Xenopus tropicalis: one gene and its partner. The protein of the gene in region 1 binds, or shares a complex with, the protein of each later gene. Links are inferred from orthologs where the notes say so. Each region holds a gene or a part of one and is shown on either strand. Other genes may lie near its edges.

Region 1 (3,820 bases):
CCTTCGATATTTTGCCTGTTGATATTTTGTACAGTATTTTGGAATTGGAACTTTTTTGAGTGCAAATGAAGGTTACCTTTATCTAGCATTGTAATGCTACACTGTGTCTCTTGATGCTTTCCTATAGATTTCTATAAAGTTATTGATATTATTTTCAAAACAGTATATTTCATTAGGTAGGTAGAATAAATGCTTCATACAAATAGGTGATAGCTGGCTTATTGCTTGCTTTTACTACTTAGATATTTAAATATCAGATACACATCCAATTGTCGGGTCCTATTAGCAAGGGGGATCCTTACAGCGCTTTGTGCCTGGCCCTGGAATAATCCCTTTTGTGTTCTCCTTACAGAATGATCTGCTAGATGTGGTGGCCAGCATTGATTTGTCTCGCAAGACTGTGAAAAGAATCCGAATAAATTTTGTCTTTGCTCTAATCTACAACCTTGTTGGAATCCCAATAGCTGCAGGTACCCAGAAACTGCATTATTAGATGGGGGGTTCGGTTTATATTTGTACAGCTACTGTAAGCAAAGCCGACCACTTATCATCCCAGTTCTATGGCATCAATGATCATATTGCGCCTTTTGGCCAATATTTGGCTGATTCTATGCCTGTGGAAAAACGCTTGCTTACAATCAGCCCTTCCGCAGGCCTCCGACCTTCCTTGTGCTTGGAACCATTGTGCTTCCCAGGGTGCAGGTATTTCAGCTTTGAAATGTGAACTCTTGCTTTCTAATATCTCAGACCAACACAGTGGTTCTGGGCACAGGGAAGGTAGGAGGCTGATGCTATTGGAGGGGCTGATTCTTGGCCTTGGGTGGCATCAGCATTTGTCTAGGGGTTTTGTCCACCATTTTATTGGGCTGATTTTTAATCAGAAATCCTCAAAATGAAATCCTGTTCTATTTTTGCAGGTGTGTTCATGCCAGTAGGGTTGATTTTGCAGCCATGGATGGGATCAGCTGCTATGGCTGCTTCCTCTGTTTCTGTTGTCTTTTCTTCTTTGTTGCTTAAACTGTAAGTATGGGACCCACATTCACTCCTGCTTCCTTCCATAATGTGATAATACACTCACTTTCAATTTTACATTTTCGCATATTAAGTTTTCCCAACTTATAATGCATTTCAGTGGGTGCTTTTCCCACATTTTACACCAGAATGTTTGCCTTCTGTGTAAACAGTACATTTCAGTAAATTTACACTTCCTCCACAAACACTTAGGAGGGTGCAAGAGCTCACCCCTCAGTGCTCATTCTAGAAATACTTGCGCCCCCTTTGTGCTGTTCCAGGACACGCAGCTAATCCCTGTCATTACTATCTGCCTATGTGACTCTCCACACCCACCTCCCTTGGATCTAGTGCTGACTAACTAAGACCGTGAGGCAGATATCAGCGTTCTGAAATAGAGTTTCACATGTTGCATGCTGCCTTTGGCTTTGTTAATGAGGCCTATAGTGTTGGATTGTGTATCTGACTTTCAGAGTGGTTTTGCAAATGCTGTACCATAGGGTGCCATTAATGTTGCACTGCTTAGACTTTGTCCTTAGCACAGTAACGTACTGTTTGAAAGTGACTCTTGTTCCTTTGATGCATTTTTTACACTGCTAAGCACTGTGGACAATTTTACATTCATTTGTTTTGTGAGTTTAAATTTCCTTTAACGGTAATTCCTGGTAATGTCTTGGCTACTGCTGCCCTCTGGTGGAGAACATTGGCAATAAAGATGCCCATCTGTCTGTTACTTTCAATACCAATGACAAATGTACATAGGGGTGTTTTGACTGCTGCTGTTTTCTGCCAAATGGCAGTGCTGCACAGAACTCTGCCTGGGACCCATACCCATTAGATGCAGTCATTCAAATAAATTTCATAATTTGTTCTGTTGCACTATGTCAGGGAGCGATATACCCAGCAGGTTGCTCCATAGCTTTTTGATCTGGCAGATGAAGTGATATTATCCACACACAATTCTTGCTTCTCATTTTCAATGATAAAAGCAGCGACTGTGTTTGCCTTTGTGCAGGTACCGTAAGCCGAGTCGTGAGAAACTTGAGCAGCGGGTCCAGGGCCAGATGAGACAGAAGTCACTTTCCGACATTAGTGTTCATATTGGACTCACGGAAAACAGGAGAACTTCCACCAAGCTGGACCTTCTGGATCGCATTGTCAACTACAGCCGAGCGTCTCTGAATTCCTTTTTGTCTGACAAACATTCCCAGCACAGCATCCCACTGAGTGAGCCAGACAAACATTCCCTGCTCCTGGGGGAACTGAAGGGTGAGGAGGACACGTTCCTATGAACGACGGATGGAACCTTCAGCTGAAGAAACTTTCTCTTTCACTGTGCTGAAACCTCTATGCAGGTTTTTCCAAACAGCAGCTAGGATCCCAAACCATTGTCCAACTAATGAGATTCCTATGAGGGATGCAAAAGTTTCCCTTGGGATACTGAGTACCTTAAACCGGTGCCTCCTGTAACCTATTGTAGAAAATGGACACCATGCACCTAAGGTACCTAGTGTTCCTTTCACCTTTCAGGCAAGGAGTAGGCGGACAGGGATGCAGAAACCTGTTATTTGTGCCTTATTGCCATTGGATAATTATTCATCCATTTCATAGCACTGGACATCTGGCAGTAAAATAAATTAGCCTTTGAGTATTTTATTTTTATATGAGATAAAGGCCTGTATAGTGATCTTATATGTTCTGATTAGCATTCTGATTCCATTCCTCCCCCCACCCCAAAGAGAATATCCTATTAGCCTTTGCTTCCAGCTGCTGCACTGCACACTTTTGCTATTGAGATTTATTGGGCGACTCCGACCTCACTGAACAAAAATTTTTATTCAGGGCAACGGGGTGAGGTTCTTTTCTGTTTGTGGCCTTGGTTCCTAATTCACAGATTTCTTATTTATTTGGGAAGTTCCCCAGTTGAGCCCAAATAGCCTTGATTGTGACAAGCCCTTCCTTACTAGAACACGTGAATTGCGTATGCCATATGTACCTTATGCACTTATTGGCCGAAGAGATCTTTCCAATCATTTCTTCCATGGAATGAAGTCTGCAGTATCTGCCAGCCATACACTAACCTTGCAGCAGCATCTCCACGTGGGAAACTGTGAGGATGAAAATGAAAATGCACGCTTTGCTGAAATAGAAAAAGAAATAATAATGAAGGAGGTTATTTTGTTGATTCTTTCAGTCCATAAACCATTGGGCTTGCAGACCTTGGGATTAATAGACTGTAGCACTGTTGATTTTGGTAGGTCTGCTCGCCTGCCGTGTGACTGAGATAATAAAGGGCAGTGGTTCCCAGCCTGCATCCTTGGGCTATTACAGATGGTCAGCTGAACCAAAAACACAATGCCTTCCAACTTTTGCTGAACTTCCACTCCCATCATCCTCTGTGTTTGGCTTGAGCACATGATGTGTGCAACTAGAGCATGCTGGGAATCACTGCCTATCAAATGTCAGCATTGGTTTCCTGATAAAATGAACCTCAGGTTGGCCATAAGGGTATTAAAAGAAATATTAAATTCACTGCACACCTATCAGTTGTGCCTGCAGAAATGTCACGGTCATGTCCTTTATTGAGGCTATTACTAGGTTCAGATAGCAATGCCTCCTGTATACCAGAGCCACTCACAGGCAGGGCGCTAATATTGCTCCCATTCCTGACTAGGCCTGATATCCTGCAGAGCACAGTAAAGGCCAAACTGCAGGAGCCAAGGACTCGGCAATCCAGTGATTCTGTATGACTGTACATGGCTGATATGTAGCTACAGTGGCCCAATGTTAATGTTGCGCTCACAGCACT
Region 2 (4,536 bases), on another chromosome or scaffold:
ATTGTGCTTAAAGGACAAGGAAAGGCAAAGGGACTTGGGGGTGCCAAAATGTTAGGCAAGCGTTAGAAAGCGGCGCAAAAACTTTTCTGGCTTTGAAACCTTCAATGTATGATTTTGGAAGCCTTCCATAGGACTCAATGGCACTCTACAGATCCAACGTGGCCAAAAGATAGTCACGAAACCAAAGCTTGAATGAATTCCGAAATGGTCCTAGTCTTTGCAAAAAATACGACTTTTTCGAGAAAGTTAATGAAAACCACAAAAAAGTAGTGGAATTTTAACGAAATTATCGTGGACATTACAAAAAGTTCTATAATTCTCTAATAAATGGCCCCAGAGAGACAATTATCAGTAAATGATCAGCATTCAGGGGCGGGCCAAGCCGACCGGGCGCCCTAGGCAACTCGGTCGGCCAACTCCGCCCACCTCCCCCCCGAACGGCGCATGCGCGCCAAAGCACAGGAGGCGGTGCAGGGGGGGGGGGGCAGGGCGATTAGATCGGTCATTGCCTCCGCCGCTAATGACAAGCGGTGGAGGCAATGACAAAGTAGCACTAGGGGTAGGCAGGAGAGGCTCCTGCCTGGCGTCCCTCAATCGTTGCGCCCTAGGCAGCTGCCTCTTCTGCCTACCCCTAGTTCTGGCCCTGTCAGCATTGTCTATTTTAGTAGCTGCTACTAGTAGCCCTGTGTGTCTTCACCCTTATAGAAGGAGGAGCAAATTCTGGAAGCCCTGTTAATACATTGAGAGGGGGGAGCTGGGAGAGATGTTAAGGTAGAAGGTGGGTTTAGTTTCCCTATGACTCAGTGTAAAGAATAAAGGTAAGCACTTTGGAATACGTCATGCACATAGTCAAAGTTTCCAATATCATGCATGATCCTGGGCCCAGTTAAACACACCCTACCATGCAGATTTGAATGCAGTCTTTTAAATGATGGGCACACAACCTCTACCAAGTAAGAATGTTATTAATATTAGTATATTCAACAAGGCCTTTATGTTAAGAAAAGGGTTAACTATCTGTGGCTTGTACTGCCTTTCCCGAAAATTATAATTTTAACTTTGCTATCATTACATTTTGCTATCATTCCACTGTGATGCAAACATCCCCTGCTAATTCCCCTGCTAATATGCCCTATAACCCTACTCTCGGAAGATTAATATGATAATTGTAAAGATCAGGAAATAGACTTGAGCTAGAAGCGAATTAGGGCTAAGCAGCCTTCAGTGTTGCAGAACTTTACCATTACACTAACGCTGCTAGCTCTGCTGCCTGGGGAAAGCTGGGAGCTGTAGCTTTAAATTGACTGTAGTGCTAAAAGTTGTTGAAGTTATGCCATGTGACAGCTTTTACCCTTTAGTGGCTTTCTAACTTGACAGAGATAGTAATGAGTCTTACAAAGGTGGCTCGTTAAAGTAACCCCCAGTACATACTTTCTGCCGGTTTCTCCCATGCTTAGGACTGTTTCTTCCTCACTTGGGCCATGCGGACCAGAAGATGGCAGCAGCATCATTTCCTATGGTTTGTCAGCTAAAAGGACCCTGGGCTCTTGCTCTCCTCTTTCCTAGTTTGAGACCATCCTCCTCCTCCTCCTCCTCCTTCTCAGTCATGGGACAGGAAGCAGGGCTGGGCCTGATCAGGGCTTCCCTTCCAGCAAGCAGAGCTGAGGTGTATTAGAGAGATCTTCTGAGCCGCACAGCGTTGCGCACATCTGCCTCGCCATGTCGGTAAGTGATCTGTAAATGTCGTTTAGCAGCAGAGGATCAGCGCTGCCCACACTCTCACCTGCAAACATCTGGAATCTTATCCGTTAACAGAATACTTAGTGGCAATTTTTGCAGAAATGTTTCAGTTTATTTGTTCCTTCCATTTTTCTATGTGTTTGTTGCAAACGAAATGAAAGTCTTGCTATTTCTGTTTATTGTAACTACGCAGATTGAGTTGTAGCATTTAGGGGTTCTAGTGCTGTGGGTATAAGCATACATTGTAAGTGACTTAACTAGATGAGAGGTAATAAGGATGTAAATATTGGTTTTTAAATGTAAAGAAATCTAATGTGGGTGTATATTATGCACGGTTAGTCAATTGGTTCCCAAACTGAGGGGCCAGCACCCAGACTGAACTACTACTTAAGCTGGCCATACACGCAACAATAAAATCATACGAAACTGATTTTTACATTGTGTGTGGGCTCAGAGCTATCATCTCGATAATTTTCTTACCATGGCGAATATTTTGGTTGAATGACAATAAAATCTGCGCATGTATTGTGTATCTGACAATATCCTTGGGGGACCACAATGAAAGTCACTTTTGTACCATAGGTATCTGCCAACTATTTTGTGTTCCTTCAACATAAAAAATAATCTTCAGCACACCACTTACATACATGTTCTCAAAGGGTGCTTGACTTCCACGGGCGCTCCCAAGCCTTTTTTCCATGTATCTTTGCAAAGGGAAAGAAACACACCACCAGTGTGTCGGCAATGCCTTTAAATAATTTATTTGCAGAAATGAACAAACAGCACAAGCTTTCGGGGGTGACCCCGACTTTGTACCTGAAGAAGGGGTTTGTTAATTTCTGCAAATAAATGATTTAAAGGCATTGCCGACACAATGGTGTGCTTCTTCCCCTTTGCAAAGATATTTTGTGTTCCTAACATCCTCTGATTTGTTATATTTAGAACTTTATCCTTCAATTTCAGTCTGAATGTTAGATTTATATTGTTGCACTTAAATGTACGATATCGATATCTGAATGTTCTGACTATGTATGGCCAGCTATACTTCTGGAATCTGATCTATGGGGATGCCCAATTGGGGGGCTACTGCCCCAGCCCTATGTTTTATCAGGGAGAAGGCCAGGGCCCCTCCAGTTGTTGCCATAGTAATGAATACTCAACTTCACTATTGGCGATATTTGTGAACTTGCATTTTGCAAAGTAATAGCCTTTGTTATTGCATTGCTGATTTTAATTGTGCATAGTGCACTTTTAAGGTGTGCTTGAAGATAGCACTAACTATTGGAGGAAAAATAACATTTTTTAGTAAGAAGTTTCATTACATACTGGTATAAAACTAATAAAGTTATAAAATTCACAATCTTTCTTCAACTGGCAGCAGTGAATGCTGAACAGTTTCCATGTTCACAAATGCTATATTCAGTTCACAGAAAGCATAAAATGTGTGCAAGGCCATACATTTTCGCATTGTGAATAATTTTCCATTAACGACTTTTATTGCATTCCCCTGCAGATGTGCACAGAACATGTGGCGGAAATAGCGAAATTATGATCTCCCAGCTTGATGTCATTATAATAATTATTATTAACATGTAATTATAAAGCGCCAACATATTCCGCTGTACAATTAATAAATATGAGCAGGGCTAATTTGGTGTCCCTGCCCACCCTGAGGCAGGCCTTCCGATACTTCATCACCAGTGCATTGAGCCAAAATTCTGATTTTGCTGCCCCTGGTAACTGCTGAGGCAAGTTCTCAATTTACCTCATGGCAGCAGCGCCCCTGGATATGAGCCAAGTGGGGCCCTGACCCCACCCCCATGCAGTGATTGTCTCCCATTCTACGTCAGTGACTTACAGATTTCCACATCTGCATTTATATGGTCTGAGCATGGAGCCACAAACTTGCAATTCTGGTTGGTTGGCATTTGCTGAGTAATATAATTAAGGTACATAATATAGAGATTACCTAGATAGCAGGTTGCTTGTGGACTCTCAAGTGGTCCATGTGCTTACTACAGGTATAACTGATCAGGACAAGGATTTTGACAACTGCTATTTATTACCTGAAACAATTTTTCTGCCGTTGAGCAAATTACATTTGAATGCCACTGCTGCTCCAGACTTAGTGTTTACAGGTCAGTTTGCTGAAACCAGATCTACAGAGGCAGGCCAGTTCTGAATCAAGGTCTAGCATTGTTCTTTACATAGGCTGCACAAAGGTCATGTTTGCTTAGAGTATTAGAGTTAAAAAAAAAGAGAGAGTGTGTATGGAATAACGCAATGTACATAGTACAGTAGCAGAGGATGAAAAAATACCCACCTCCATCAAATGATTGTTCCTATTAGTTCCTAACTGAGTCAGTTTTACAGTAAAGGCCAGCAACTAGATAACTAAAGCCGGCCATACATGCACCGATATTATCGTGCGAAACCTCGTTTTGTTATGGTTAAAGGATTTTGATTGGGTGCCATTGAAGGCGTCCAAACAAAATTTATGCTCAGGGCTGAATCGGCAGAAGGAGGTAGAATTTCTTTTGTTTCTACATCCATATCTAACAATTCAGCCCTGAAAGTCAGATGAGGGTGGGAACAATCACGAAAGATCGAAATTGCTATGTGTATGGCCACCTTAAGACTTCTGATTAGTGGCAGAACATACATATACATGTAATGTGGCTATTGGCCAATCACATTTTCTACAATGACCAATCAGTATCTTTTAGACTATGGAAATCTTACCATTTTAGCGCAATGATGGGTATTCTCAGTATCAACCTTAATATATGTGCTATA

What was found.
Region 2: the proteins of atp7a (region 1) and atox1 are in contact, whole or in part, in an NMR structure (PDB 2K1R), measured with the Homo sapiens proteins. The link is inferred for Xenopus tropicalis from reciprocal best matches to the Homo sapiens genes ATP7A and ATOX1. Residues at the interface, in NP_000043.4 of Homo sapiens: Cys19, Asn20, Ser21, Cys22, Trp24, Thr25, Gln29, Asp67, Asp68, Met69, Gly70, Phe71, Asp72; in NP_004036.1 of Homo sapiens: Thr11, Cys12, Gly13, Gly14, Cys15, Ala18, Arg21, Val22, Lys25, Lys57, Thr58, Gly59, Lys60.

The regions. Positions count from the first base shown.
Region 1 is NC_030684.2:45,789,188-45,793,007, forward strand, and holds part of atp7a (copper-transporting ATPase 1), read left to right. Parts: intron 1-352; coding exon 353-470; intron 471-917; coding exon 918-1,020; intron 1,021-2,026; coding exon 2,027-2,303; 3' UTR 2,304-3,820. UniProt on the Homo sapiens protein: ATP-driven copper (Cu(+)) ion pump that plays an important role in intracellular copper ion homeostasis.
Region 2 is NC_030679.2:16,843,245-16,847,780, forward strand, and holds the start of atox1 (copper transport protein ATOX1), read left to right. Parts: upstream 1-1,636; 5' UTR 1,637-1,719; coding exon 1,720-1,725; intron 1,726-4,536. Other genes in the region: g3bp1 (ras GTPase-activating protein-binding protein 1), read right to left, coding at 1,432-1,511. UniProt on the Homo sapiens protein: Binds and deliver cytosolic copper to the copper ATPase proteins. May be important in cellular antioxidant defense.